4 linked regions of the Notamacropus eugenii genome follow. The protein of the gene in region 2 interacts with the protein of the main gene of each other region in a pairwise test. Links are inferred from orthologs where the notes say so. Each region holds a gene or a part of one and is shown on either strand. Other genes may lie near its edges.

Region 1 (7,993 bases), about 5.3 Mb from region 2:
CTTGTCTCAACTGGTTCCACAGCCTAACTTGTAAGAAAAATGTATTATGACTTGAGCACGAGGAATTTTATGAAAGACGTGATTGAGGACTTACAATGTATGTATGTATGTATGTATGTACAATGTACATGTCTGACCTACAATGAAGGTAAATCAGTCATGTAGCAAAGAATGAAAGGACAGACAAAGATGCAACCTGCTGGGAAATCTAAGATAGTAAAAGAACAAGAGTGGAACCTTGAGGGGAAAATGGATGAGAGTCACATGAGGGGTTCTGGCTTGTATCTCTGGAGAATACTTTCCCACAAGGATGAAATCACAGAGCTATTGAAGCATGAAATTCTTCTCTCAACACATTATTTCCTTAAACAGTAAATAATTGAACTTTATGGCATAAATCTAAACTGCCAGCTTGTTGTTTTTGAAAGATCTCTGATTTTATCCATTCTTTCCAATAAATCACCCAGACATGATCTACCCCCTCTCATGGAAGCCTTCCCCAACAGAGAGACTAGAAAGAGAAAAGGGCACAAGAGTTATGGGGACCTGAATGAGAATCCAGACAAGGAGAATTACTGAGAAGGAACAGTTGTACAAGTAGGAGTAGAACCAGGAGAGGACTGTATTAAGAGATAGCTCAGGGAGAAGAGAATGTGAGAGAGGAGGGGTTGGTTGGCAGTGGCAAGTGCTCCAGAGAGGTCAAGAAAGAAGTGTATACGTTTGTCCTTCGTTGCTGAAGGAAGACCATGCCATCAGAAAAATGGTGACATGACTTGCACTTGACTTTGTTTTGAGTGAGGGGAGGGCCGTACAGGTCACCAGCCTCACTTCTCCTCCAGAGCCATCTGAATCCAGTGACCAGATATTCAACAGGATGACTGGAGATGACCCAGGAAGAGGCAATTGGGGTTAAGTGACTTGCCCAAGGTCACACAGCTAGTGAGTGTCAAGTGTCTCAGGTGAAATTTGAACTCGAGTCCTCCTGACTCATGCACTAGTGCTCTATTCACTGGACTACCTAGCTGCCCCTTCAAGAAAGATGAAGACTAGGTGACAGCCATAAAACTCAGCACTTAAGAGATGGTTGGTAATCTTGGAAAGAGTGGTTTCAGCTAAGTGAGCCTAGAAGCCAGGTTGCAAGAGGTTGAGAAATGAGTGTGAGATGAGGAAGCCTGTGAAAGGAAGGAGAGATAAATGATGATAACTTGAAGGGATGGCAGGGTCAAGTGAATTGTTTGGAAGGATGGGGGAATTGTGGAAATATGGGTAGTCTTCAGGCAAAGCATTCTGGGGAAATTTGAGATTTGGGTCATCCTGTGTGTAGTGATTACACCTCTTAGTCTGGTGCCACTGATTAAACCCTCTCTAACCATTCTCTGGCAGCCAGGTGGCACAGTGGGTTGAGCACTTGGCTTGGAATCGGGAAGACCCATTTTCATGAGTCAAATTCAGTCTCAGATACTTACTAGCTGTGTGAACCTGGGTAAGTCACTTAACCCTGTTTGCCTCAGTTTCTTCAACTGTAAAGTGAGCTGAAGGAAACGGCAAACCACTTCAGTGGAGTCAGGGAGGGATTATTTCTACTCTCCATTGGTTTGTCACTTCAGCTCCCTCTAGCAACAGGAAACAAAAAAACAAAGTTCTCAGTTTTTTCTCCTAATTTTTAATTCCATTTGAGAATGGAGCTTTAAAAGTAAATGGGATCCATCTAGCTTCTAGCAAAATTAATTCATATCTGTGGATGTCTTTGACATTAGCTCTCTCCTTATTAATGATCCTCTAGCCTCAGAGGAAAGAGTCATTTTAGGCCATTTTCTCACCTGTTGAAGAATCCCTGAATCTGAATTTCTTAAGGGCCTCCAAGACCCCATCTTTAATAGCAGGGACATCCACAAGAATCCTCTCTAAAACATACTCAACAATTGATCATCTAGTCTGTCCTTAAATAAAGGATAGTAACAACTCACAATTATGTAAGTCTTTAAGGTTCGCAAAGTGTGAACACAGTAAGGGCTTAATAAAAGCTTGTTGAATGATTTCTTGTAAGGAAAGAAGGGAATAGACATTTATTAAGTGGGGGAAGGGGAAAAGGGAAGGGAATGATCATTTATATAGGACTTAAATATGTGCCAGGCATTGTGGGAAGCAATTTACAAATATTATTTCAATAACTCTAGGAGGGTGGCTGCTATTGTTACCCCCATTTTACGGTTGAAGAAACTGAGGCAGATGGAGGGTAAGTACCTTGCCCAGTGTCACACAGCTAGAATTGTCTGAGGCTGTATTTGAATTCAAGTCTTCTTGACTCTATCCACCGCAACACCTAGCTGCCCCTCTCCCCTCGTTATTTTCTATTAATCCTGTATACCGCTTGCTTTGTATGCACTTGTTTGCATGTTGTCTCCCCATTACAACGTAAGCCCCTTGAGGGCAGGGATCATCTTTTGCCTCTTTTTGTATCTCCAGTGCTTACACTGGGCTTAGCTCTTAGTAGGTGCTTAACGAGTGTTTATTGAATTGAAGCTGGGTATTTGAGCTTGTGCCTCTTGGGGCCATTGTAATGTCCTCCTGTATTCCTTTTCTTTAACTCTTCCGTGGCAAAGGAGTGAGCTGGTAAAATGGGGGAAATATCCTCCACATTGAAACAATAAGAAAACAGAGGGGCTCAGCTGTTCCTCCTCTGCCTCCTGGAGTGGAGAGGGTTTTATTTTTAACACTGCTTTCACTCAGGCCTGAAGCAGCTCACTAACTGAGTCAGAAAGAAAGTGATGGAATGAGGCAGAAGCCTTATTAATTTTTTTTAAGTGAGAGAAATGTAAAACTGATGAGCCCCTAGAATACCCTATTGATTCTACTGTGTAATTCAACACCTTTGATGTAAGGCTTCAGACCCTCTCCAAATGCTGTTTTGTTTTCTTTGTTTTTTTGTTGTAATGGGAGGAGGGGAAAGTGTCAAATTCCATCAGATCACCATTTATAGGGTATTTGGATTTTTAGTGCAAGAAGGGTCCCTGGAGTCATGTTTTTTGTTTTTTGTTTTTCCCCTGGAGTCATCTAGTTCAAAACTCCTATCTGATAGATTGGGAGAATGTTAATGATGATTTTCCAAATCCCAAGGTTAGTAGGAAGGGTAACGTCATCTAACATGTCTTGGGGGAATTGGGTTGCTCCCCTGGCTAGGGTAGGGTGGGCACCGCCTGCATGTTTTCAGTAAGCTTGCCTTGCTCATTTTAAAGGAGCTTCCTCCTTTAAGAATGGGTTATCCTCAAGACTCTGATTCATACCCTTCTGTCCCAATTTAGGGCCTCTCCCTATTACCATCCTTGACCCCCTGGAGCCTTTCTAGCTTTGGGGATCTGGACTTAGCGGAACTGATTAGAGGATCTGAGGTTCTTTGGGTCTCTAGTTGACAGGGTTGAAGTGAAGAGTGATAACCTTTTTATTTATTATTAGAGGTTATTTTGTGAAACAAAAAGTTGTTGGAATGAGGGAAGGGATTTTCCATTTAGACTTTCAACTTAATGGGAGATACATTATGGGGAACTGGCCTTTTTACTGTTGGGCCATGTGGTTGTAGGGAATTATTATTAATTTTGAGAGTGTGTGGGGCTAGAAACAAGTGAAGTTACTGGATACTTCTTGCCCAGAGTATGCTCCAACCATACTGTAATGGTCATGTAGTCTTTCCTTGGAGACTTCCAGGGATGGGGAACCCTGTCTGTCAAGGCAGCCTGTCTGACTCTTCCTGATGCCATATTGGGTTTTCTTGGCAAAGATACTGGAATGATTTGCCATTGCCCTTCCCAGTTCATTTTACAGACAAGGAAACTAAGGCAGACAGAGGTTAAGTGACTTGCCCAGGGTCACATAGCTAGTAAGTATCTGAGGCCAGATTTTTGAACATAGGGAGGGTCTTTCTGACTCCAGGTCAGGAGCTCTATCCACTTACTACCTACTTTCCATTCCACTTTTTTCCTACCTCCACCCTTATACTTACATAGAGTTTATATTTGCCCTCTAAAACTTCCATCCACAGCTCCTGGTTTGCTTTCTTAGACCAAACAAAACCAGTCTAAGGCGCAGAGTAGTCCATGGAGCTATGGATTTAAGAGTCAGGGAGACCAGAATTGGAATTCTGCCTCAGTCAGATACTACTCTCTGAGTGATCCTTAACTTCTCCTACCCTAAGTTTTCTAATCTATAAAATGGGGAACAATAATAATGCAGTTTTCCGGGTTGTTGTGGGGATCAAATGAGATTACACAAGGTGGCCTTTAAAATGCCCCTTGGGGCATAGTTCCAAACTTCTCCAGAACGGTTGGACCGCAAGTTTCCACCTTCTGAAGGAAATCTTCCCAAACCTCTCCATTCCAGTGTCTTCTTTTTGTTCACCACTTCCTATCTATCCTGTATATAACCCATCTTGCTTTGTACATATTTGCTTGCTTGTGGTCCTTCCTCTTTAGACTGCAGGTGCCTTGAGGGCAGGGGCTGGCTTTTGCATTCGTGGCTGTCAGACTCCAGCTCATTTCCACAGAGGAGGAAGCTGAGGCAGGCAGGGTTAAGTGACTTGCCCAGGGTCACACAGCTGGGAAGGGTCTGAGGCAGGATCTGAGCCACCCAGCTGCCTGCCTGGCGCACAGTAGGCTCTTAAAAAGTGTTGACTGGATAGTGGGGGAGGTCTGCCCATTCCTGTGACAGTAACTCCACCGGGTGGTGAGAACGTGGGGAAAAGCAGACTCAGAAAATAGGTTTCCTGTTGCTATGGAGCAGGAAAGGGGGTGGGGGGTGGAGTCTCGATCTCTTCCCCCCCCCCAAGCCCCCATCAACTTCTTCCCCCAAATGAATCCCAGCCCGTCTCGGAAGAGTCCACCCGCGGCCAGGGAGGGGGGAATGCGGCCCCTCCGCCCGGGCCCCCCTGCGCCTGAGTGGTACGTGCCGAGGGGGCGGCTCTCGGAGCGGAGCGCGGCGCAGCCCCGCCCAGCCCGGCCCGGAGCGGTCTCCTCTCTCTGGCAGCCAGCTGATTCCTCCCGCAGTTGGGGCCGGGGCGAGCCGCGGAGGAGCCGGGGCTGGAGGGCGGGGGGAGGGAGGGATGAGGGGGCGTGAGGGGGCGGCCTCCTCCCGCAGCCTCGGCGGGCGTCCCTGAGGAGCGGGTGCCGCGGCTCTCCGGCCCGCGCTCGGCGGCGCCTCGGGGGCCGGGGAGGAAGCCAGCCGACCTGTACGTCTCACCACATCCGCGCTGCCCCGGCCGCGGATATCCACAGGCGGCTGTCACCGTTTCCCTCCATTTTGAAAGAAACAGGGGATTAAAAAAAAAGGATTGCATCTCCCCTGCCCTCACCTTTGCCCTCTGCGGGGCCCGGGCCGGGGCTAGCCGCGCTCATGGCCTTCAGCCCGTGGCAGATCCTGTCCCCGGTCCAGTGGGCCAAGTGGACCTGGTCCGCCGTGCACGGCGGAGGGGCTGCTGATGGCGAGGACCGGGGGCCGGAGGCGGAGGCCGAGGAAGACGACTCCCAAACCGAGACCAAGTCTTGGAGTTTCAGGCAAGTATGCAGCATCCCTAGCTGGGCCGGAGCCCGGGATTCGAACTCGTGGCTCCCGCGTCCGCGGGCCATCGGTTCCATGCTGGTCTTGGTCTTTTTCCCTCCTCCCACCCCCCAGCCTTCGGAATGCCCCCGGGTTTCTGTCGGTGGTGGTGTGCAGGAGTGCTTCCTTCCCTCCCCCTCCCCCTCCCCGACCCCACCCCCACCCCCTCCAGCCCCTGGAGCGGGCTGCGGCGCTTCTCCGCTCTCTCCTCCCCCCGTTCCCCTCCACCCCGTTTCTCGATCTGGGTAATGTCTCGTTTCTGCAAGCTTAGAGACGCTAATGAGCTCGAAGGCTTTCAGTGCGCTGGACTCACGGTTCTGGAACTTGGGGAGGGATCACTCCATCCCTGGTGGATTGGGGGCCCGGGTAGTGGGGTCACCCCAAAATGCAGCAGTGGTCGTAGGGAACTCAGAGGCAAGGCTGGCCCGGTATCTTCAGCCGGGGACCATGAAATGGTCGCCCGCTGGACGGTAGGCAAGACGGGGGGATCGACTTCTGATCTCTCAGGAGCAGGGACCATGGTTGTGCTCAGAACTGTGGTTGTCTGCTGGTCAGGATGAAGGGTCATGCCCGCTAGGGGAGAGACCCAAGCTCCAGCCTGGCCCGGCCCGGCCCGGCCTCTGGAAACTGCGAGGTTTCAGGTCCCTGTGTGGTAGCCTTAGTGTTGGGAAAGAAGCGCAGACCTAAGGGAGTGTGTGTGGGATAGAGCTCCGGCGGATTAATGTTCAGCGAAGGGAATCTGATAGGATCCCAAGGAAGCCACTAGTGAGGGGACTCCGGCCATCCTGAAAACCTGCTTGCACATGTGTCTGCTGTGAATCTGTGATGGCCACAGGCTTGTCTATCGGAGGAGGAGGACAGTCACACAAAATGCGGGCCTCTGAGCTGTCTGGACGTTTAAAGGCTGTGCAAGGATGTCCAAAATAGCATTGAAAGTGGTAATTCCTCATTTTTCCCCCCTCGGCAGCTCGGATTCTGAAGGTAATTTTGAGACTCCTGAAGCGGAAACACCCATCCGATCGCCTCTAAAGGAGTTCTGTGATCCATCCTTGGGATTAGAAGGACCTGGGGCCAAAACTCAAGGTAAAGAAAGAGATCAGTCATCAGTCTTCTGCTTTGGTTTATGTGTATTTTTTTTTCCTGTACTGGTTAAAAGAAATCTGGAGGAGAAAGGGCAGGAAACAATGTTTCTCAGGTACACGTGCACTTTTTAAAGGGCTTGAATGACTTTGTATCATCTATTTGCTCCGGGAGACAGGTATTAAACATACTGGTTTATTGAGTAATATTGGGGGTGGGTGAAGTTCAGGTGGTATCTTTGGCCATTTTTTTGTCTCCCTTTGCATTGATTGAATCTCTTTTATGTGATCGTCATGTAGTTTGATGATAAGTCATTTTTACCCATGCTTTTACCTCCTGCCTTTACAGACTTGTAAAATGTAAGTGGTAGCTTACTGCAGATGGATTCTGATCTGTTTTCATGAATTCTGCAGATGAACGTTTTCCCAGAGGCACAGCTGAAAGCAGGGTGTTTTTAAAGCAGGAGTTGCAACTAATTTGATTTGGAATTCCAAGTCTAAAGAATTTCTTAATTGTGCTTCTCTCTCACACATAACACATCTCACACCCACCCCCATGAGATTATGGGAGAGCCTTAATTTGCTTAGGAAAACCTGACACAAATAATCATGGCTCTCCCTGACTCCTAGAATCCCTAATCAGTACACCTTGAGACTATCCTTGGCCTACAGCAGCTTCTGCTGCTGCTCCATCTAATGAGCTGAAAAAGTTATTGGAATGAAGGCTGTTTTGGTATTTACCTCTGTGGATCTCGGGTTTTTAGAGCTGGCTGGGAATCTTAGAGATAAGAGGTAGTCCCCACACCCACCTTTGAAGGATAAGAAAACCCATTTTAATCTGAAGGAAGTATCCTTCATAACCCTTCTCTCTCACCAGAAGGTCGCTGGAATTGTCAACATTGTATTATTCAGAGGTCAAGTTGTCCCCGTTGGGAGGGGTGGGGGGAGGGAATTGGCTATGTGCTGTCCCTTTTCTTTTTTTTCTCTTGCCTTCCACTATAGGACCCTGTTATATTTAAGATAAATTGTTAGAACTGGGAGGGTTTTACAGTGTGAACTCCACATTTAAAAAATTAATTTTTATTTACATCTTGTTTTTATATCAACTTAATTTCCAAATATCTCTTTTCCTCTCCCCTACCAGCAAGCATTTTTAAGAGAAGTTCTGCAAAACTAACACATCAACTGAGTCTGAGTACTTGCAAGATTCCATAGCCATAGTAGTACCCTACAGATCTCTTCATTTTTACAAATGAGAAAAATAAGTCCCAGGAAAATGAAAAAATTTGACCAAAGTCTCGAAAACACAGAGCCAACTAATGGTGCAT
Region 2 (7,088 bases):
TTAATCATATGTGTAACTGAATTCAATGTGAATGTAATTTTTGATTACATGAAAGAGCCTTACAATAGTAGGTTCAAAATCCAAGCTCTAATTATCAATCAGTAAACATGTATTAAATGCCTACTATATGACAGGCATTGGGCTAGGTACTAGGGATTCCAAAGCAAATAGGAAATAATCCCTGTCCTCAAGGACCTTAAATTTTATTAGGGGAGGCAAGAAGTCTATAAATAAGAAAATATAAAATATATTCAAAACAAATAAAAGGTGGAGAAAGGGAATAAGCATTTATGTGGCGCCTATCATATACCAGGTACTGTGCTGTGTTTATAAATATTATTTACTTCTCACAAAAACCCAGGCAGGCAGGTGCTATTACGTATCCTCATTTTATAGTTGAGAAAACTGAGGCAAGTAGAGTTTAGGTCACACAGCTAGTAAGACTGAGGCTGGATTTGAAGGCTTCCTGACTTCTGGTCCGTCCACACGGCCACTAGTTGTCCCCAATACAAGCTAACACAAAAAATTATGGAAAGAAGGGTACTAGGACCGTGAGGAATCTGGAAAGTCTTCATGAGTCTTAAAAGAAACAAAGGCTTATAAGAGATAGGGGGTGGAGGAATGGGGGTAGGGAAGCAGAGATATCTTGGGCCAAGGCGCTGAAAGAGGAGGGTATCTTGAGATGAGAAGGAGCAAGAAGGAAAATCTAGCAGAAGTTTTGAATGTAGGAAAGGAAGAGAGTGATGGTTAATAAGGCTGGAAAATAGGTTGTTTATTTTATGCAAAATTGAATGAAATGATTCACTGGTCTTTTCAAGATGCCTTAAAAGCTTTCAGTATAGAAAGATAAAGGTTAAGGTGGTTTTTCCATGGTGTTCATAAATACAAATACATGGAATTTGAATTGTCTTCTTTTGGATATTGGAGGTACAGTCAACAAATATTTATTAAATATCTACTGTTTGACACGATGGGGCAGCTAGGTGGCACAGTGGAGAGGTTGGGCCTGGAGTCAGGATGACCTGAGTTCAAATCCAGTCTCAGATACTTACTAGCTGCATGACGCTAGGCAAGTCACTTAACTATTTGTCTCAGTTTCCTTATCTGTAAAATAAGCTGGAGAAGGAAATGGCAAACCACTCCAATATCTTTGCCCAGAAAAACCAAAAAGGGGTCACAAAGAGTCAGAACAACAATAACAATCTCCAGACACCATGCTAAGCACTGGGTAAAGAAGACCACCAAGCAATGGAAGCCCAACTATGACTCTCCTTTCTCCTTTTCTGATCCCCAAAGGCTAAGTGCCTAGAAACTCTCTACTATAGAGCTTAATACACCATTTCAGATTTTTCTCCCATTTTCCTATTTCCCCATCAAGAGTGGGGAGATTTTTTTCAATCTAGGGCCATTGAGTGGAGGCTTATATTGGTTAGGGTGGAGGGTACACAGAAACAATTGAAGGTCACACAAAAGACAACCTTATTTAGTTTTATTTTTTCTCAGAGCAATACAAGAGCTTCAAAATCACTTATTTTTAAAAATTGCAAAAAGAGGTTCATGGATTACTTCTACCCACTCAAAAGTGGATTACCTTTGTTAGATAGGATCACTTCTCAACTGGCAGATTCAATTAGAACTAGATATGAGCAAGACCTAGACATCCTCTTAAAGACAATAGATGATGTCTCAATTAGGTGCAAAGAAAATCTGTGCTGAGTCGGTGAAGGACTTGGCCATGCCAAGGAGCTTGTATAAATGCAGGAGAGAGTTCAGCTCTTCAAACGTCATAAGTCTGAGAGAGTAGAGGGAGTTGAAACATCAAGAACTGAGCTGGAAAGAATCGACAGCAAAGGGGCAACATGCAAAAGAAGAAAGAAAGTTGGCAGAGAAGAGAGAGATAGAGGAGGGCCTTTGGCCCTTTAGGATCTCAGAGTGCAAAACTTGGACTGATGCCATCAGTTTTACCTTCCTTCTCAAAGATCCAAAGTTCTAAAAAGAGGTCAGTTCTTTCCCCAACTTCCCCTTCTGGTATTTGTCTATTAATAGACACTGTCAAATGTTAAAAACATTTTTGCTTACATGTAACTGAGGGAAAAAATTAAATGTAAATTTAAAGAGGACACTGTAATATAACTCCTTTTCTTCTTTACATAAATGTTTCGAATAACATGAATTTCATCTCAACCACAAAGAGGTCAGGGGTTAGCTAGAGATAAACCTAATTATAAATTAAGGCAGAGAGCCAATCCTCTGCTGGGGATTTGGAGTCATTATACTCCTAACTTTTTGTTTTAATTCCCTAAAGCAACAGAGGAAGGAACCATATGAACCTAAGGACAACTGTATTACCCCTAGCCTTAAAATAAGCTACTTATTGTAGCAAGGTATTACACACATATAAAACTTTAAAAAAAAGCCAACAACCACACAGCCAATGCCATAGTTATGTCTAGTTAAGAAAGCATTGCAGGGAATAGGGGAAATGAAACAGAAAGGAGAGATGAGAGATGATAAGGTGGTGGGAAGAGAGAAAAGAGGCAAGAAAGGGGGGAAGGAGAGAGACGAAGGGGGAGAGAGAGATACGGGAAGAAAGGGAAGGCAGGAAGAGAAAAAGAGAAGGACTTAAAAAGTTCTGAAGTAAATTGCTTACAATTCAGTTTGACAGTTGGGTTTTAGTGGTTTTTCATTGGACAGCTTTGTAGTATGCAAAGTTGTATAAGACAATCCTTGCAATCAAGACGTCTAAAAAGTATTTTTTCAATCTAGGGCCATTGAGTGGCCCTAAACACACACAAATACCTTCAGTTCAAGGCAGCATGTGAAAAGTAAATCAGTTTGGCTGGATTTTAGACTCCATTAAGGAGAGTGATGAATGAAGAGCAGGTTTGAGTAAAGCTGTGAAGTACTTTAAAAGCCAAACAGGAATTTGTAGCTATCCTAGAACCACAGGAACCACTGGAGTTTAGTGAGCTGGGGAATAACGAAGTAGGTGCTTACATACATGAGGATCACAGGTCTAGAGCTGGACCTCAGGAACAATATAGTTGAACTTCCTCATTTAACAGATGAGGAAACCAAGGCCTAGAGAAGGTAGGAGATTTGTTCAAGGTCATACAGGTCATGCGGCATTTGAATCCAGGCCCTCTGGATTTACAGGCAGTGTTATTATCTTAAGTTAAGGTTTGAGGGATTGGACTGCATAGTGATAATATTATGCATTCCCATCATTGGATGAGTACTATTCAGACAACAGACATTGATGCTTTCAGTAAGAATTGATCTAGATCCCTCTGCTGTCCCTTTCCATTCTGAGATCCTAGAATTTTGATTCTATAATGTGTTGTTCATTAGTTGAACAAAATATAAGGAAATGAAATGAAATATTTTCCCAAATGTTTTCATTTTTCTTCACATTCCATCCTTTCTGGGTTTTTTATTTTTTTCTCCTCTAAATTCTAAGCCTGTCTTTTAATGTCATACCTTTATGGCTTTTGATAATGGAGAACTGTAAATTAAAGGGCAGACTAAAAGCAAATAGTCAACATTTAGGACACAGAGTAGAACTGAAGAGAGTGACCTGATTTTAAATGCCTTCTGAATGAGTCAAAGCTCAGAAAGGTCCTGTTTCAGCCACTACCCTTAACAGCACTTAGACGTTAAGCTGTAAAGTTTGCAAAGTGTATTTGATCTTCACAACCACTCACTGAAGCAGGTGCTATCACCCCCATTTTACAAGAGAGGAAACTGAGACTGAGAGAGGTTAAGCGACTTGTTTAGAGCCACATATCTGGAACAGAATTTGAACTGTCTTCCTGCCTCCCAAGTCCCGAACTCTATCCTCTGCACCACTGTTCCTAACTTTCATGGAGGTCTGGAATGGATGAAGGACTACCCCAGATAAAAATAAGTGTCTTAGGTACTGAAAAATAGTAAGGGAAGTAACCACATCAGAGAGTCGTAAAGGAGTGACTGTGAGAGGACCTCCCTTAAATTGCTAGTTTTGGAAGCAAGGGAAAGGTTCTCCTTGCTCCTTTCAGACCCAAATCCCCGGGGTTGCCCCTTTGGAGTCAGCGTCCATGCAGTCAGATACTTGGGGCTCAGCAGCGCAGAGGCGCCTGGTGCCTGCGCGAGCAGTTTGGGACTTTGCAAGAGGCAGGGGTGGGGCTGCGAGCTCCAAGTCATCTGGGTGTGTGGGACCCGTCCGGGGAGGCGCACGCAGGGACAGGGTTTTGCTCCTTCAGCTTTCGGACTTTAATAACATCGTTCCTGCCAAATTCTGCTGCCGCCGGCACCGGTCTCTCCCCCTCTCCCAAATTCGTCATTCCTCTGACAGCCCAAACTGAAAGACAGAGGTGCTTGGGTCGCCCTGTGCAGGTGAGTTCGGGATTACAGGTGGAGCCGGGGGTGGAGAGAGTTAGAGGGGACTGGAGAGGAGAGTGAAGTAACCCGGGGAAAGCTGCCGTGGGGTGGCACGCAATGGAGTGTTCTTGGGAGTGAAACGAAAAGTTCTGTGCTTGTGGCTGGGGGAGGGGGCATGAAGTCGGAAGAAAAGGCTGCCTAGGACTTGAGGCTGAGGACAGGAAGCGGGCTTAGTTTCCTGCCTTTGGCAGAGATCCAGGCAGGACCTGGTGAGGTGAGGCGAGGTGAGAGGGCAGTGTGGATGGGACAAGTCTGGATCAAGCGCTAACCACCCCTCCCCCTCTTCTGCACCTCCACCCCCGGTTCCATCCCCTTCCTCCCCTCCCCCAGGCGCTGGCACTAGGAGTAGCTCAGGTGTGTGGGGAAGGCTGGGGGCAGGATGGGGCTGGCGCACAGGTGTCCGATGTCTGGTATTTGGTGTCTGGTGTCCGCCGCCGCGGGCAGGCAGGCTTTGTGAGCCACAGGTCCTGATGGATGGCGGGGAGAGGAGGCGGGGAGTGCCGGGTAGCGCCTGCCGGAGGTGGAGTGGAAGCCGGGAGGCGAAGGTTGGAGGGGACTTCTGAAGCATTCCGGGGATCCAGCCTACAAGGGTGGCGCTGCGTGACCAAGCCTGGGTCAGTGCTCGTGCGTGCGTGTGTGTGTGTGTGCATGCTCATGTGCCAGGAGCCAGCGCTGCTTCAAGCTGGCGCAACTGTTCCCGGGACAACCGGGAAAGAACCTGTGGAGTCAGAAAATCACTGGGCTGTGGCGGAGAGAAGCAGCCTGGACACCCCCCTGGGGCCAGGCATCCGGACTCGCACCCGGGCTCCCAGAGGCGCACCTGTATACGCCTGTGGCTCACGGGAACGCGCACACTCACATTCATTCACTTTTTGGGCACAAGATCTCAACAGCCTCTTACCCCACCCCCTAGGCGGCCAAAAGCACACTTACGGAGCCCTGCTCCATACTAGCGGCATGGTGGATTTGCAGCCCTGGGAAGCTGGGTTATGGGTTCGAATTCTACCGGTTGATAAGTCAATTTTTCACTTGTGTGAAGTTGACCAAGTCCCTTTTTCTCTCTGAAGGACCTCAGTTGCCTGATCTGTAAAATGAGATTTAGGACTAGATAATCTGTAAAGATCTTTTCCATCTCTAAATCCTTTAACGCCTGCGCTTCGGGCACTTTTCCTGGTGCCTTTTGGATCACTTTTAGAGAGGTCTCCAAGCTCCACAAGCTTGAAGCACTCCTTCAAGAGCCAGCCCTTTGCTGTGCCCCAGTGCTTTGGCACCGAGTGTGCTCAGCAGCCCAGCGTGGGCGGCCTAGGGGGGAGAACTTGTGCTTGTTGATGGGCGGCTGGCTGACTGGGCCGGCTGGGTCGTGGGCGGTGTCCTCAGGCCTGGAGCCAAGTCCCTTGGTAGCTAGTGTTGTGGACAGAATGCCCAGCAAAGCCGGTGGCCCCAGGCAGGCAGCTTGAGGCCTTTCCTAACCCCGAGAGCTGGCGGGGAGGTCACCGGCCAGGTACGCTGGGGAAGAGGCCACTTGCTCTAGAGGATTGCTCTGAGAGGTTATATAGGTCTTACCTGGAGGCAGCCAGTATATGTCCGAGGGGGGATCTGAACCCAGGTCCTCCCAAGTCCTTGGATGGCTGCCCATCCATAAGCTGGGCTGCCTCCATTTAAAGTTTGTACTTTCCTCACAACAGTCAAGTAGGTCTCAGTGTTACACGTGAAAACTTGTATTACAAAGGGGTGTGTTATAAAGCACATATGAAGAAAGGCGTATCTGCATCCAGAGAAAGAACTGATAAATAGAAACATGTATAAAATAATTATGTATGTGTGTATCCATGTATGTATATATGTGTGTATATATATTATATACATATAGATATACACATACATACACCTATTTGTGTCTAATGGTAGCCATGGAGGGGGAAAAAAGGGAAACAAACGCATTTAATATGAATTTTGTTGTATATTTGAAAGGAACAGCAAGTGGTATATAGTATATTTGTAGTTTCATGTGCAATCATCTTTTTTATTGTCCCGTGTTGTGGAAATTCTTGTTTTATTCCATAAATTAAAAATAAAATACATTTTTTAAAAACAACACCAAAAAGAAAAAAAAAGAGGAAAGAGTTGCTTGGGGAAAGAAGGAAGCAAATAAGTTGTATGTAATAGACATGCAGTTTCAGGTACAATCCTTATTTCTTGCCTGTGGAAATGTTTGTGGGTATCTGTCAAATGCAGAATAACAGAAATTTAAAATCCTGAAAGAGAGAGAAAAGGGGGGAGAGAAGGATTTGAATTAATTTGATTTGGTGCCTGGTCTATGAATTGACCCTAACCCTTGAAAAGTCCTGAGAGTGTCTGAGTGTGGGTAATCTACTTTCTTTATGAATTAGCAAGGTCAGGGGTTTAGGATGGTTAGGCTGCAGACACAACGGCCTCTGTTGACTGTATTTGAAGTATTTCTATCTTGTTATGATCTGCCAAAGCTTAAGGTACATGACTGTGGCATTCTAGGGCCCAGGGTCACCTTCCACCCCTTACTGGAAGCCTTGGCAGAGTACTTCAGTGGATCAGGAAATCAGTGGGGAAAAACCCTTGTTAATCACAGGTCTGTTTCCTTACTTTTAAGCTTCTCTCCTCATCTTAAATATTTGGTATATACTACATAAATT
Region 3 (7,890 bases), about 4.6 Mb from region 2:
CTGCAGGGGTGGGGGGAAGGGGGGGTGTGGAGGACCAGGGTGAGGGAAAGGGTAAGAGAGAAGAGGGATGGCAAGAAGCAGGGGAGGATGGGAAATGCCTGGGTCATCCAATCATCCAGGCATACCCCATGGGGATCTCAAAGCACTTTATGACTTCCTAACCCTGAAAAGAGAAATGGAAACAGCTGTTGGGCACAGCAACAAAGGAAGGAAGGAGAGAAACTAGTCTAGCTTGGCTATATGCCCCAAGTGAGAACAGGCAGGGTCCCTCCCCTTAGTACCAAGACCAAGCAGTGCCTCTTGGGTGAGGGGTAGAAATCATCTTCCCTGAGTCAGGAGTTAAGCATGAAATGGTCATAGCCTTTTCTATTTCAGCTTTCCTTCCCAGGGACTCTGGGGAGTTCAGAATGCCAATGGGGACTGGCCTGCCTTCAAATCTTGGGCTCTGGATGCTCTCTCTCTTTCTCTCTCTCACTGTTTCTCTCTGCATGTTTATCTTTCCCTTGGTCTCTCTCTGTCTCTATCTCTGACTGTTTCTCTCTATCTGTATATTTCTCTCTCCCTTGGTCTCTCTCCCTGTTTCTATATGTACGTTTATCTCTCCCTTGGTCTGTCTCATCTTCTCTGCTTTCCTTCTGCTTTCTTAACCTTTCTATTTTTCTCCTTACTCATTTCTACAAGTCTTTCCCTCTGCTTTCCTTCCTGTATTTGTCTCTTTTTCTTGTCTCTGTTTCTTCTTCTTTGCTCTGTCTCTGTGTTTAGGTTTGTGTCTCTGTCCCTTTTTGTCTATCTGTCTGTCTTCCAGACCTGTTCTTGCTGATCCACAGAATGAGGCCATAGTAGAGAATGGCTTATCTCTGGAAATCAGCAGTGGGTGTAGAAGAGGTGATCAGCTCTGTGAGGAGAAAGCCCCCATAGGGGTAGGCAGCAGGAGAAGGTGGAAGACTTGGAGAGGGGGAGGAGGAGGCTGGGGGAAAGGGAGGAAGCAGGTGGAAGATGAAGGGAAGGTGGTCCCTGTGCTGGGTGATGGCGACATGAGACCTGGACTCTTCTTGAAAATTTAAATACAAAGTGTAGGCTGAAATCATGGGTTGACATGGGACTTCCTTCCACCCTACCCCACCCCAGCTAGAGTCACAGGACTTGCCTGCGTCACACTGGCACCTCCTGAGTTGAGTCCAAGTCATTTGTGGGTGGCTTCCACACTCACAAAGGGCAGCATTCGCAAAAGGAGGAAAAGAGGGAGTCCTGTATGCTGGGAAGATGCATGCCCATGGCCAGAGTGGGGATTTCACATGAGCAGTGCACTGGGGGGGCATGGGATGGGGAACTTGTCACTCTCTTGTTCACTTGTAATGAAGTCCCAGAAATCAGGAAGGTCAGGGAAGCAGGCCCCCTATTGTGAGCCACTTATACTTGCTGGGGCTTGGAGCAGGAGCTTGCCTGTTGCTTTTTTGTGCCCATTAGACTGTTGGGGGTGGGGAGGAGTGGGAAGTGAAGGCATTCACCAGCTGGATTCAATTAGGACTAAGGGCAATGCCACATCAGCAGATCAACTCACATCAAAGCTTTCTCCAATTCTTTCTTTTCTAAACATTATGCAGGGGGACACTGAGGCATGACTAAGGAGAGCTTGGCTGAGGGCTGACAGCCTGGAAGTATCAGGCCTTAACTTCTCAGTGCTCTGAGTTATATCATCATCATCATCAATTGACCCTGGATTCTCCTTTCTCTTGACGTTCTCTGACTTCCTTGACCTCTAGGAGGAATTCAGAGTGGATAATTTCCCTTCAAGCAGGCTGGACAATTCCTTTGTTTTCCAGTGTGGCAGAGAAGGCCTTGGAGTTAGGAAGGTTCCCATCCTGACTCTACTGTACGTGTGACCCAAAGCTAGTCACTTAACCCCACAGTTCTCTCTATGACTCAGAGAGAAAGTGGGAATATGCACTAGGAGAAGGAATTTCTTATCTGGGAGTTCCAAGTTTAGTCCCCACCCCTAGTCCTGATCACTAGGCTGTTTTCAGGAGGCAAAGACTGTGTCTGTTTTCCAATATTCCCTTTCCCCCTAAAACAATGTTCTCAATGTTTCCTTTCCCATCCTACCTCATTCTCCCTAATGGGGAGAATGGGCCCAGTTACCCCAGTCCCTTAAAGCAATAAGAATTTACATACACTTTGCCCATTCAGGCCTCTACATTCTTGACCACCAGTATCCCTAGGAGTTAGAGGTAGGGGTAAAGTGGGAACAGAGAGGGAGAGGTACTTCATTTAGGGAGAAATGGAAGCAAAGGGCCTTGATCTACATCCATCCCACCAGATGATGCAGGGATGGGATCAGAAGTAAACCAGGTCTGACTCCCAGATCAGCACTCTGTCTACTTCCTGTGAGCTTGACAGAATTCTCCAGTCCTTTTGGCAAGTCCTCTTTAATTTAAAGGCTTGACTCTGGGACTACAGCAATCAATGTAGTACTACTTGGAGGTTTTTTGTCCTTGTCCAGGACAATACATGGGAAAATAAATGGGGTGGTGGTGGTTAATCTCAGCTCCTTCTCTCTTCCCCATTTCCCCCCAAGAAGACAAGAAAAGGCTTCCCAGGTAAGCTTATATTTTCTTTGAACAGCAAGGTGCTAGGAGCAAGATGACCCCAGTCCTCTTCCCAATTTCTTTTCTCTGTACCTCAGTTTCCCTGAGCATAGGAAGAGGGCCCAGCTGCTTTTCTGTGGACTCCAGAGGGAGGAGCCAGTCTGCCTTCCCTTTGTCTGGTTCGAGGGATTGGCTGTTCTTCCCTCCTTGATCCCTCCCCTCCCTGACCTCAGCCTCTCCTCCTTTGCCCCCTCCTCCTCCTCTTTGGCACCTACCTGCAGAAGAACTGGTGGAGAGGATGGAGAGTCCATGAGGGAGAAAGCATTCCCTCCAGCCTCCACCTTGAGCCCACAGCTGTGGGCCTCTGGGGAGGCTGCCAGGAAGGGGAGAAGTCTGGGGTGTGTTCTCTCTCCCTCGTGACTGGGGCAGAATAAGACTCTTATAGGGTGGGTGGGTGGGTGGGAGGGGAGGAAGGAGAGGCAGTGAGACAGAGTCAGAGTCACAGAGAAAATGGGGAACTGGAGTGTGGGTGTGAGATAGAGAGGACAGAGAGATAACAAAGAGAAAGAGTCAAATCAGCAGGGAGTCTGCAAGCTGGAGAGAGGGAGGAAGGGAGGGAAGAGAGAAAGAAGGGAGGGAACCAAGCAGAGAGTTTCCAATCTCTGGCCTGTTTGCAGCAGGGTGGGGTGTAGGGAAAAGTCATACTTTTTGTCTGTAGCTTTTTCCCCTCCCTCCTCATGTTGTGTGTTTATGTGTGTTGTGGGGGTTGGGGTGGGGGAAAACTGGAAGGGGGGGTGTAATTTGGTCAGGAGGCTATAGGCAAGCAAGTGCCCATCTCCTGGGGAAGGGAGAGCTGCTCTCATTTCAAGGGTGGGACCGAGGCAGAGGAGAGGCAGGGAGATCACCCAGTGATCAGGGTGGGGCGTGTTTAGAGGAGGAGGAGTCCTGGGGGTCCCAGGGGACCACAAGAACCTTTCCCAGCAGCTTTCCTTCTGTGCCCTGTGGAGCCTTTGGCACCAGAGTGGGGCTACTCAGAGTTTCCAGCAACATTTCCAGAATGGGTGTGTGGGGTGTGCTCCTCTGGTCCTGGAGCCCGCCTTTAGTGCAGGAATGATGAATAAGACGGACAGTCGCAGTGAGACACAGGGATAGAAACTGAGAGCCCCAGAGACAGAAATAAGAGACAGTGAAGCAAAGAGACTGACACAAACAGGGCACGGCTGCAGCACAATTAGAGGTATAAAAGAGGTGTGAATAGTGAAATTTATACACATATACACAGCCGTGGAGAAACAAGGACTTGGCAGACGTACGTTTACACATATACATACGCATGCAATGGGCCAATAGAGCGGGAACACATGGAGGAAGGCTGCCCTGGGCTGGAAGGATTTTCTCTTAAGGAAATGGTACAGGGGAGGGGCTGGGGTAAGCCAGCCTGGGAGGGCGGATGAGGGTGGAGGCCCACCCCTGACGGTAGTGGGGTGGTCCGCATGTTCCCAGGCAGCGGACAACACGTTTTGATCTTGTTGTCTTTCCGATGTTCCTGTTGCTCCTGGCTCTGCTCCTAAGAACCTACGCCCATTGACTCCCTAGACTCATTCCACTCCCTCTTAACCTGTGCTGCTGCTACCATTTTTCATTAGTATCCCTCCTGCCTTCATCCATGACTCTGGTTCTGTTTGGTCTTCTAAATAGTCAGATGAAGCTTAGGGACAGAAAGGAATGGAGAAGGATCCCCCTGACCATAGCTGTTGAGAGAATGGGAGGAAACAGGGATGCTGGAGGAGTGGCAGGAACAAGCACAGTGATGCTCCATCTCTGGATCTTGGCAGGGAGTATTTAAAGAGCTTTTGGCCTGGGGAAAGGAAGAAAAGAGAACTTGTTTGTAAGCTGAGCTCAGGCAACCAGGTTGACTTTGACCATCCCAGGGGAACATGTTCCAGAGACATTAAGTCCCAGTTGGAACCCTCACACTGTTCTCTGCACCTTAGAAATAGCTCTAATCCCAAGGGGAGCTCAGAAAACAGGCCACTCCTACAACCCATACCCTCCTCCATGTCCCCTCTGTTCCAAGGGACACAGGCACCAATCCAGCTTCTGAAAGAAATGGGATTGCCAAGTTTCATGGGATGACATACACAGTACAGTGCAAAGAGTTTGGAACTGGGAACTAGGAGACCTGGGCTCCATTCTTTGCCAGGCCTGTTTCTTTCCCTATAAAACAAGAACTATAACACTGACCCACTCGTTGTACCAAATATAGCACTTGCCCTGTTCATACCACGAATGATCAGGAGGTAGGCTTCAGGACTCCGGAGGAGGGCATCCCAGCCTGAAGAACTCTGGGCAGCTCCCTCAACCCTGAGGTTAGCAGCCACAGAGTAGGCCTAGGAGCCCAACCTATGGTAGGTCCTTCCTCCTTCTTTAGGTCACAGTGCACTGAGAGAGTAAAACTTCTCTAAGGCCCTTTGTTCCTCCAACATGAGATATTTTATGAAAGGGATAAGCAGGAATGGGGATCCATTCCCAAAGAACATGAACATGAACAGTGGTGACTGGTATCTCTAACTTGGTTTCCCTGTTGTAACTTAATCAGAAGTGTGTGGGGGGTTTAGAGCACTCCTTTTCTTCTTCGCAATGAAAAGTTAGGGGATGGAGTGGGTGGGCATTGTGTGAGGATTCGTTGAAAAGAGGAACTAACAAGGACTAAGCAATGATCTTTTTTTAAAGAGGCCTGGGACTTAACCCTTCCTTGGGAACATCCACCCCGATCTCCCTGCCTTTGAAGATACTGCCTTCATTCACTCCCTCTGCCCTAAACATTATCCCCACCCAGGGGAAACCAGCCAAAAAGGCTCCCAGGCCTGCACAGGGATCTGTTGCCTTCTCCTTACTTGCTCTCCAGGGCTGGCACTGGACATCCTTGATTGCCTGTGATCCTGACCAGAACACTACTTGCCAGCAGCAGAGTCCCCTTATTCTCCAGGGCTCTAGCCTAGACTCCAAGACAAATATTTAACACAGAGGTTGTGGCTGAGCTGACTAATGTCCTGACTTCCTGTTTGTCATGAGGGAGGGTCATGGAGCTTGAGGATGGTCTACCAGTCTCATTCATCACTGTGGGAATAGGCACTTGAGTAAACAGACTGGGGGGAGGTAAGTGGGGAGGGGGGTGTAAATTGTGGAAGAGGGGCTAAATGGACCCACCCTCTTCTGACTTCTTGATTCCTATGTAAATGAACTTTGGCCTGCCAATTCAAGGCCCCAAGCTCAACTGGGTTTATTAAATGACACGAAGCAGGCAAAACAAAGCACGTCATGTGTGCATTTGGGCACCATCACTTTCTCTTCCTGGTTTTTTTTCCTTCTTTTCTCCTGTAACCTCTAACCAGGCCGGCTGCCTGGCTGCAGCCGCTGGAAAGGATGCCCTCTCTATCACCCATACTGCCTCACAGAGAGGTCAAGGGAGTGAGGGAAATACTCAGAGCTTCCCAGAGTATGAAGCAGGAGAAACCTACAGATTTCTATCTTTTTGGAGAGGACAGGATAAACTCTTCCATCTGGAAACCCCAGGCCTCAGGTTTCTCAGCTCCTCCGTCCGGTCTCAGCTGTGATTGTTCTGGCTCACTTCATCAGGCATTCACTCTTTCTCTCCCCTCCCCTCCAGGGGAGGGATGGGGGTAGGGATTCTATTTGTTTTTGGGGAGCTTGCTACTGCTGTTCCAGCTGCCCAGCACTACAACAGCTTGCTCTTCTTTTCCCAGCTACTTGATGCAGCAGCCACAGGTGTTTTTTGCTTCAAGCCCTCAAAAGCTATCCCACCTCCTTTGCTGTCTTTTCTTTTCTTTTGCATGTTATATAACGTGTGTAAATAGAAATCTATCCGTCCTCTACACCTATTATAATAGGTGGCATTTACATAACAGCACTTGAAGGTTAGCAAATCACTTTACATACACCATACGTCACTGAAGCCTCAGGAACCTGTCAGGTAGATATTTTGCCCCAAGGAAGGGAGAAGGGGAGGGATAGAGAGAGGGGGGGGAAGGGAGGGAAGGAGAGGGAGAGGGGGAGGGAGGGAGAGGGGGAGGGAGAGAGAGAATGTAGAGGGAGGGATGCTCCCCCTCCATGATAAACATCAAACATCAGCAACTGGTCAGTAACTTAAAAGTCAGCTGTCTGAGGAGCCCACTATGACATGCTGCCGGTATGTGTCAGAGGTAGGCTCTAACAAGGGAGCCTTGAGGGTGATTTGGTGACAGGGGCTACAAGCATTTTATGGATGAGTGCTTTGAGGCTCAGAATCTGCTTTCACAGCTAATAAGCATCAGAGATAGGGTCTAAACTCAAGCATTCCCAACTCCCAAGTCCAGAGAGCTTTCTACTAGACCACATTGCCTCTCTAATGGCAGGAGATGGCTCAGCCAAGAGATTGCCATGGCAATGAATCTGTGGCCATGAGCAGGGGAGGTTGTTCATACTGACAGAGGGAGGGACTGGGGAGCAGAGCTATGTAACTGCAAATACAGGAATAACAGGTCATTCTGAAAGCCAAGCTTGGTCACCAAGGGAAGTAAGGAAAGAGGACAGGTTAGGTGGACTTTCGTTACAATGTGAAGGGTGAGACAAGTCTAAGAGGGATAGGATTTACAAATATTTTTTCTTGGAATGCAGAAGTATGAGGGAACTGCAAGAGACAGGAGTCCAGATCTTCATTCATTTCTTAGGGGAAGAAGTATCTTTTCCTACTATTACTAGCAGAGAGAAAGAAAGCCATTCTACCAGAATCCACTGAGTTTACAAAGAAATTGGCTCCATGCCTTATTTTTAGGTATTTTGCTCCCTATACACCCTACATTCCATCTTCCTATGACAAAACATTCTTTTTTCAGTGGTTTGGATTGCTCTGGAGGGCAAGACCACAATGACACAATGGTCAGCAAGATAAATCAGAAAATCAGATCACACAGGATACCCTGGCACCAATCATTCCTTTTCCGTTTTAGTTTTCTGGGCTCTCTTCTTTCCCTTGGGAATCTTTTCATCCTGGTATAAGTTTATGTTACTTGCCAGATCCCATTGATGACCCACCTCTATGCCAGCTGCCTATGGGAAGAGAAGTAAACAAATAGGACAACTAATCTATTTCAAGGTCTTGAAAAGCCCTTCTAGGAGTGTATTGGTTGAACATTTTAAATCACAGTGCCTAGATCTAGGAAGTTTAAATTCTTGAACATGGTGTACTTGTCTAGCACCAGGCATTATTCAACTGAACATTTATTAAGTGCTTCTATGTGCAAGA
Region 4 (6,969 bases), about 86 Mb from region 2:
TCTAAAAGGTCAGCTCCCTGAAACTCTTAAATGTGAATTATCTTATGAGTCAATCCCCAAGACTTGTACTCCCCAAGAAAATTTCTTTTTCTGGCTAGAGGACTAGATTTTGGCATCATGATGCCAGGAACCCAAAATCTCCAACTCTTTAACATAGGGACCTTAAATTTGGGAATATCACCCATAAACTCTCCTTTGGGGTCAGAGGTTAGCATCTATAACTTTTAAGTTCTTCTCCAAGATATACCATTATTGCCCCAATCATTGCTGCTCTCATACTGAGTAGATAAACATGTTCAACTGCAATGTGCTTTTACTTTGTTAGCCATTAATGTCTTTTAGTAGAGATGTGTCTAGGGCCCAGGGTTGGCTAGACACAGGGGTATGATGGAGCCACTTTTAATAACTTGAGAGAGCCTCCTGTTAAATTTTCAATATGAGAATATGTACCTCAGAAATCCTTGAATGCTTCATATCAGGGCTCATTTATTGTTTTGTTGATTGTCTAGACTTAAGAAGATGATGAAGAAAATGTTAATTTTGCAGATTAAGCTTAAAGGTTTGTTGTTTATAATTTTTTCCTGGTGCTTAAACATTTGCCGCCAAACCCCTGGCTACACCCCTGAAGAAAGGCCAAAAGAACCCAAGAAGCTCTCTTAGCTCACTTTTATGGGCCAGAACAAAGGAGCAGCTCATACTACAAGACTCCATTTTCCCAAGCTTTGGAACCAACCAGTTCTTCCTAGGTAGTCCAGGCACATAGTCATGAGTTGTCTTTTATCTTCTAAACAAGGTGCTAATGGACATGTCCATAACTTAGTGGGAGAGACACAGACAAACCAAAGGCTCAATAGCTTTTGACTGACTTGCTATCATCCCTAATTTAAGAGCCTCTTCAGGTAAGGTCTCTCTGAAGAACTTGTGTATCACTTGTGAGACATGAGAGACTTTGGCACAGGACCACCAAGCATGAAGGGGCCACATCAAAGAAGGTGCTGTGCTTTATGAATAAAGCAGAATTGAGGTAACTCAAAAGAAATGCGAGATGGGCAAACTTAGAGACATCTGTACTCCAAAAGTTCATATGGACTATTTGTATCTGACCTTCCAAGCTCATATTGGTCTGATCAGCCACAGTCAGACACACTGTACCCTGGCTCCATCATAATGATGTTATTTTGGTCCTCTTTGAGAAGGAACGACAACAACCAACCAACCAGTTTATTAACAGAGTTGTAGATTAACTGGTTCCTGAGCCAGTCCCTGTTTTCTCATCTATAAAATGAACATATAGGACTAGATCATAGACAGGTTCTTAGCCAGGAGTCTGAGAATTAAAAAAAATTTTTTGATAACTATATTTCCGTATGATTGGTTTCCTTTGTAATCCTACATATTTTATTTTATGCCTTTAGAATGATGGTTCTGAAAGAGGGTTCATAGGCTTCACCAGACTGCCAAAGAGTTTTGTTGAAGGTTAAGAACCACCGAACTAGATAATCTTTAAGATGTCTGCCAGTCCTAACACACAATTACTTAATTCAATTCAACATACATTTACAAAGCAATTATGGTACTAGAAAAAGAGACAAAAAAGGAAACAGTCCCTGGCTTCAAGGAGCTTCCATTGTATGGGGAGAACACAACATATGCACAAGTAAATAAATACACAGTCTATGCAAAGTAACACAAAGTAATTTCAAGAGATAGATCATGTATTATCCACAAACATGTTATTATCAAGCATTTACTATGTGCAATGTACTAGATCATGTTTCTAAATCACTATTCAAGGCAGCTTCAATTTGATTATTTTTTGTTCTGCAGAAGAAAATGTTTTGTTTTGTGCTTGTTGAAAACTCAATATTCACATGTCAAAGGTGAGTTGTGAGTTATGAGGGAAACAAAACCAAAACTGAAATAGTCCCTATTTTCAGGAAGATTATATTCTATCAGGAAACACAATGGGTACACATATACCATTTCAAGACTGGTGCAAATACTGCATGAGACGGTCCTCTTTGATGTAGAGAATGATTACTTGGGGTGGAGTTGGTGAGAGCCTGGAAGAGGAGAGATATTTTCTGTCTTCCGGTTTCTGAGAGAAGACGCACAAAGTTCTAGGCTCTCTTCAGGGAGAGACCCCTGGGGAGAAAGAAAAGAAAATTTGAGAAACTGTCAACATGTAGAGAAGCCAGTCTCTTGACATGTCCCAGATTTCTAGAGACTTTGATGAATTTCCCCTTAGGATTCTCTTGGTTGAGCCATCTCACTCTCAGGCGTAGAAGTCATTCACTCTGTGTATTACTTGGTACAGTCTACTCTGTATAATATCTGTGATTTTTGTTTGCTATCTGCTTGGATAAATAGGTTTACTTGCTATTCAATATTTGCAATAGTTTTGTGTAACTAGCATCTGATGGGAAAGGAGTCAAGCCTTCAGATATATAATCACCTCCTTTAATGGGGATGACCAAGAAGTAACAAACTTAAAAACAAAGTGTTTCCCCTAGATTGGCAATGTCTAGGGCGGCACAGAATTATAATTCCAGTCTGGTACCCCCCTCTCCCTTTAGAAAGCACAACAAAATTTTATGGCTCCTTCTCCTGCCTCCCCCTAAAATCAGAACTCAAAGTCTCCTTTGAAAGGTAGAAGAGATTTCAGAGTTATCAATTCATGTCTTCCTGTCAGCTAAATTTAGAAAATCCATGTGAAATACATATAACCTATACAGTATCCTACAAAAGTAGATACAAAATGACTTTTTTGAGGGGGGAATAGCCATGCCAAGAAAGATCTATGGTGGTGTTTTGAGGTGAGTCTCGGAGGCTAAACCAGGAGATTCTAAGAGGTGGAAGTAAGGAGGAAAGTGCATATCTGCCTTAGGTACAGCTAGTACAAAGGCATGGTGAAGGGAAATGGAGTACCTGGGATGTGAGAGAGGCTCATGATGGGGAATAGTGTGTAATAAAACAGGTCAGAAGTAAAGTTTAAGAACCAAAGGCCTTAAAGCCAAACAGAGAAGTTTCTATTTGCTCCTAGAGGTAAGACAGAGCCACAGGAGTTTACGGTTATATGGCGAGACCTATGCTTTAGGGGAACTATTTTGGTAGAGTCCAGTTGGTTTTTTCTGCCCTTGAGTCTCCACTTCTCCTTTTAAGTTCCAACTAAAATTCCACTTTCTATAGGAAGCCTGCCCTAACTCCTCTCATTTCCAATGCCCTTCCTCTTTTAATTATTTGCTATTTGTTCTGTTAGCTTGCTTTGTACTCATTTGTCTACGTTTTCCCCCCAAACGCGCATTAGACTGTAAGGTCTCTGAGGGCAGAGGCTATCTTTGGCCTCTTTCTGTACCCCCAGCTTGGCACTAAGTAGGGTAGTAGACATTTAATAAGTGTTTCTCCATTGATCAATTACGAGGCGCCTGGCACGGACCTGCTTCATGTACTTGAATGAACACCGCCCCCCGATCAAGGACAAAGAGACTCCGAGGGGGAAGGGGCCCATCCAAGGCCCTACAGGGAGTAAAAAGGCCAGGCCCCGAGCCCAGGGGGGCTGAGCCAAGCTCCCCTTCGTCAGCGTCGCAGTTCTAGGCTACATGGTTAAGCTCCTCTGGGAAGCCAGGTTCAACATGAACAGACTGACAATGCCTGAATTTTCCTGCAAAGGGCAATCTTTTCGGAAATCCCAGTCTCCGTTTCCAGTAGCGCTAAACTGTGGTCAACGTTCCCGGCAACTTCTCGTACGATTGAGTTGCTCAGGAAACGAGGGACGGAGACCAAAACTGGAAAGGGAAGGGTGGGGGGGAGGGGACGCAAGGAGTTTGGGCACTGCGCTTGCGCGGCCTCGGCCATCCGGAGAGCCTGGGAAGAGAGTGGGGGAAGGGCTCCCTTGCTTACGTGCGCCTAGCGTAAGGGGAGCTTCAGCGTCACGCAAAACGGCTGAGCCTCTGGGACGTCTTGCGTCGTCGCAGGAGAGTCGGTGCGTTGGAGCCGGAAGGGGAGCTCGTCGCACCGGCGCGGCGGAGAAAACTTAGTGCGCTTGCGTGATGGGAGGGGAGCGAAGGGGAGAGGGAGGAGAGTTGCGCCTGCGCAGCAGCAGTTTCGGCTTTGGGGGTGGCGGGCCGCGGGGCTAGGCTTGTGGCTGCGGGTGGCGTCCGGGGCGGCGCTGCTGAGCTCTCTGGAGCTGGGCGGTGCCGACGAGGAGGAGCCCGGAGGCGGCGGCGCTGGCGGCTTGTTCCTGACGCGGCTGCGTTCGTGGGCGCTCCCTCCCTCTTCCCCCCGCTACCCCCCTGCCTCTGGTTCACTTATTTAATTATTTATTTTCGATCTGTGTGTGGGTCTGTGGGGGGTGAACGCATCCTGCTCTGCGGGGCGGGGGGGAGGGAAAGGGGGAGCCGGGGCCGAGCCCGCAGAGGGGTGATTCGCCTGGGAGCGCGGGCCGCCCGAGCCGTCGTCACCACCGCCGTCACCGTCACGACCGCCGATAAGCCCTTGTTCCCGCGGCCGGGAAGGAGAGTCGAGCGCCGACAAGATGGCGGACGGGGAGCTGAACGTGGACAGTCTCATCACCCGGCTTCTGGAGGGTGAGTGCGGGCGCCCCCGGGGCCGCCGCCCCCTCTCCAGGCCCCCGAGCTCCGGGGGGGCGGGGCGGGGCAGCGGAGGAGGCTGAGCGGAGCCTGGAGCTTGGCGTGACACCCCCCCAATCCCCGGGGATCGTGGTATCCCGCCGGCCCGGGGGGTGGGTCGGGGCTGAAGTCCTCTCCGCTCGGCGGGGAGCCGTGCGAATTGGCGGGGCCGCCAGGGGGGCGGGAGGGAACGGCTCGGTCCGAGCGCGGGCCCCCTTCCTCTCGCTTGGGGGCGGGGAGAGACTCGAGCTCGGGGGCTCCCAGGAAGGGGGGCGACCCCCCGGGGTGGGAGCCGAGAAGGAGCTGGGAGTCTCGGGCGTTCCGGACACTCACAGGTTTCCCGGATAAATTCTGAGTCCTGGTCTCCAGAAACTGACCTTTGGTGGCTCCCCTGTTCCCTCATGGGGTAGCGGGTTCCGCTGCGCTCTCCTTGGAGGCTTTGGATCCACTTTTATTTTCGGGCCGTTTACCGAGGGTAAAACCTTATTGATAAAGAAGCGAGAGGGGGCTGGGGAGAGTTGAGTAGTCCAGATTCTATCCAAATATGTGATCGGTTCTATGACTAGATGGTAGAGTTTTGGGGATGGCTTTCTCTCCCCCTTCTGGGACAGATGCGACAAGGAGTGATCGACATTGAAAATCTTAGCGAAGTAGTCTCAGTAAATAAAAAATGGTGGAATTGGGTTGTGTGGCTTCACTGATTCACATGAATTAGAGTTACTTTTGTACATGTCACTCCTAATTAGTTTTGTGCAGAAATTGGAAAGTAGCCTCCCCCTCTTTTTTTCTTAAGAATTTCAGTTAATAAATTTCGTTGACTGTGTGTTCCGCTGAGCCATGGAGGATTTTTTTTCTTTTTCCTAAAGGGATGTTGAAAAAGTTTAAAATTATTTCTTATAAAATGTAAAAAACTGAATTGTACGTTTCAGTTTCATTACCGCCTTGGTCTCCCTAATTACCCCCCCCCCCCCCCCAAAGAAAACCACCATCTATTCCATAACTAATTGTTTTGCCTTTTAGTTATAGTAGAAAAACATTTTAATGCTAAGAATCCTTGTCAAATAACAATACCAAAATGTAGCATCAACTACCCTAATTTGTTTGCTTCCTAAATTACGTGAAAATAGTTGATACAGTGAAAGAGTACTACTTGCTTTTGGGAGATCAGCAAAATAAGGTTTATTTACTTTTTGGAAAATTTCTTTTTCTAACCTGTTGTATCTAAAGAACTAATTAGTTCTGTATAGTTATCTAGTGTGACTAAATATATTCAATCCAGATGTGAAAGTCCGTAATAGTTTATTGCTTAAATAGGAAACAAAGTTTTGCTGTGAACTCTTTTTGCCTTTTCCTCCACGCTGTCAGTTATCCTTGGGAGGCCCCCTGGTGCCTATAATAAGTGTTAACTTCTTAACGAACTTACAACCCATCTGAAAATTTTTCTGAGGTTGAAGTCTTTGCCTGATAGGGGCTTGATTTAAAAAAAAAATCCATGGAAAATAAATTAGTTGGAGTAGTCTGGAAAGATAGGTATGTCTTCTTATAGAAGGTGTTGGGCTGTGAAAATGGCACAGCCCTATGGGAAAGAGCTTGATTTAATCCTTGAAATGGCCTGGCGAGTGATAACATAATAACATGCCGGAATCCCCAAATATTCAAATTTTGTTTATGATAGTGAAAAGAACTTTAGTGCTCAGTAAACATGAATTCTTCTCCTTTGGAATTAAAGTAAATTGTATTAATTCTGGATGGCCAAGATTATATATAGCAACAGTCCCTAATATGGCAGGAATACCATTTACTAGCTATGTGACATTGGACAAGTCACTTCACCTCTTTGTGCCTCTGCTTTCTTATTTGAAAAATGAAAATAATTTTTTAAGCTGCGTACTTCATGCTTTTGGGAAGATCAAATAAGATAACAGATGTGAAAACACTTTGGAAGCTAGAACACATTATGTGTCAGGCATTACCCTTATGGAAAAAATAAATAAATATACACATGCGCATATGTATACACATGTACAGATATATAAAATCCATTTTTTAAAGATGTCCATACTTTCAATGAGTTGAATCATTAAATTTATGTAGTCAAATGTTGCTTTTAAAGTAGCTTGCTGACTTGAAACAATTTGTTAGAATTTTGCTGACCTCATTGGAGAATTCAGGTCTTTCTAACCCCATTGGTACAAATTCTGAGATTGGTTTTGGATTTTAGAAATATGAATTAACAGGACCTGTGCTCTCTTGATATAGAGAACTTTGGACTTAAACCATTTAAGATTTTTTTACTTATTTATGTTCACATATTTTGTTATGGCAGGGTACAATTATTTAT

What was found.
Region 1: the proteins of SH2D4A (region 2) and TACC1 interact in binary tests that used the Homo sapiens proteins (3 or more experiments, as listed by UniProt). The two-hybrid records come from large-scale screens. The link is inferred for Notamacropus eugenii from reciprocal best matches to the Homo sapiens genes SH2D4A and TACC1.
Region 3: the proteins of SH2D4A (region 2) and SORBS3 interact in binary tests that used the Homo sapiens proteins (3 or more experiments, as listed by UniProt). The two-hybrid records come from large-scale screens. The link is inferred for Notamacropus eugenii from reciprocal best matches to the Homo sapiens genes SH2D4A and SORBS3.
Region 4: the proteins of SH2D4A (region 2) and PPP1CB interact in binary tests that used the Homo sapiens proteins (3 or more experiments, as listed by UniProt). The two-hybrid records come from large-scale screens. The link is inferred for Notamacropus eugenii from reciprocal best matches to the Homo sapiens genes SH2D4A and PPP1CB.

Annotation. Positions count from the first base shown.
Region 1 is NC_092872.1:622,022,860-622,030,852, reverse strand, and holds the start of TACC1 (transforming acidic coiled-coil-containing protein 1), read left to right. Parts: upstream 1-4,987; 5' UTR 4,988-5,382; coding exon 5,383-5,543; intron 5,544-6,553; coding exon 6,554-6,669; intron 6,670-7,993. UniProt on the Homo sapiens protein: Involved in transcription regulation induced by nuclear receptors, including in T3 thyroid hormone and all-trans retinoic acid pathways. Might promote the nuclear localization of the receptors.
Region 2 is NC_092872.1:616,685,241-616,692,328, forward strand, and holds the start of SH2D4A (SH2 domain-containing protein 4A), read left to right. Parts: upstream 1-4,077; 5' UTR 4,078-4,374; intron 4,375-4,425; exon of another isoform or gene 4,426-4,643; intron 4,644-4,863; 5' UTR 4,864-5,033; intron 5,034-7,088. UniProt on the Homo sapiens protein: Inhibits estrogen-induced cell proliferation by competing with PLCG for binding to ESR1, blocking the effect of estrogen on PLCG and repressing estrogen-induced proliferation. May play a role in T-cell development and function.
Region 3 is NC_092872.1:612,075,194-612,083,083, forward strand, and holds the start of SORBS3 (vinexin), read right to left. Parts: upstream 3,015-7,890; 5' UTR 2,897-3,014; coding exon 2,861-2,896; intron 1-2,860. UniProt on the Homo sapiens protein: Vinexin alpha isoform promotes up-regulation of actin stress fiber formation. Vinexin beta isoform plays a role in cell spreading and enhances the activation of JNK/SAPK in response to EGF stimulation by using its third SH3 domain.
Region 4 is NC_092872.1:530,449,575-530,456,543, forward strand, and holds the start of PPP1CB (serine/threonine-protein phosphatase PP1-beta catalytic subunit), read left to right. Parts: upstream 1-3,963; 5' UTR 3,964-4,534; coding exon 4,535-4,586; intron 4,587-4,897; exon of another isoform or gene 4,898-5,103; intron 5,104-6,969. UniProt on the Homo sapiens protein: Protein phosphatase that associates with over 200 regulatory proteins to form highly specific holoenzymes which dephosphorylate hundreds of biological targets.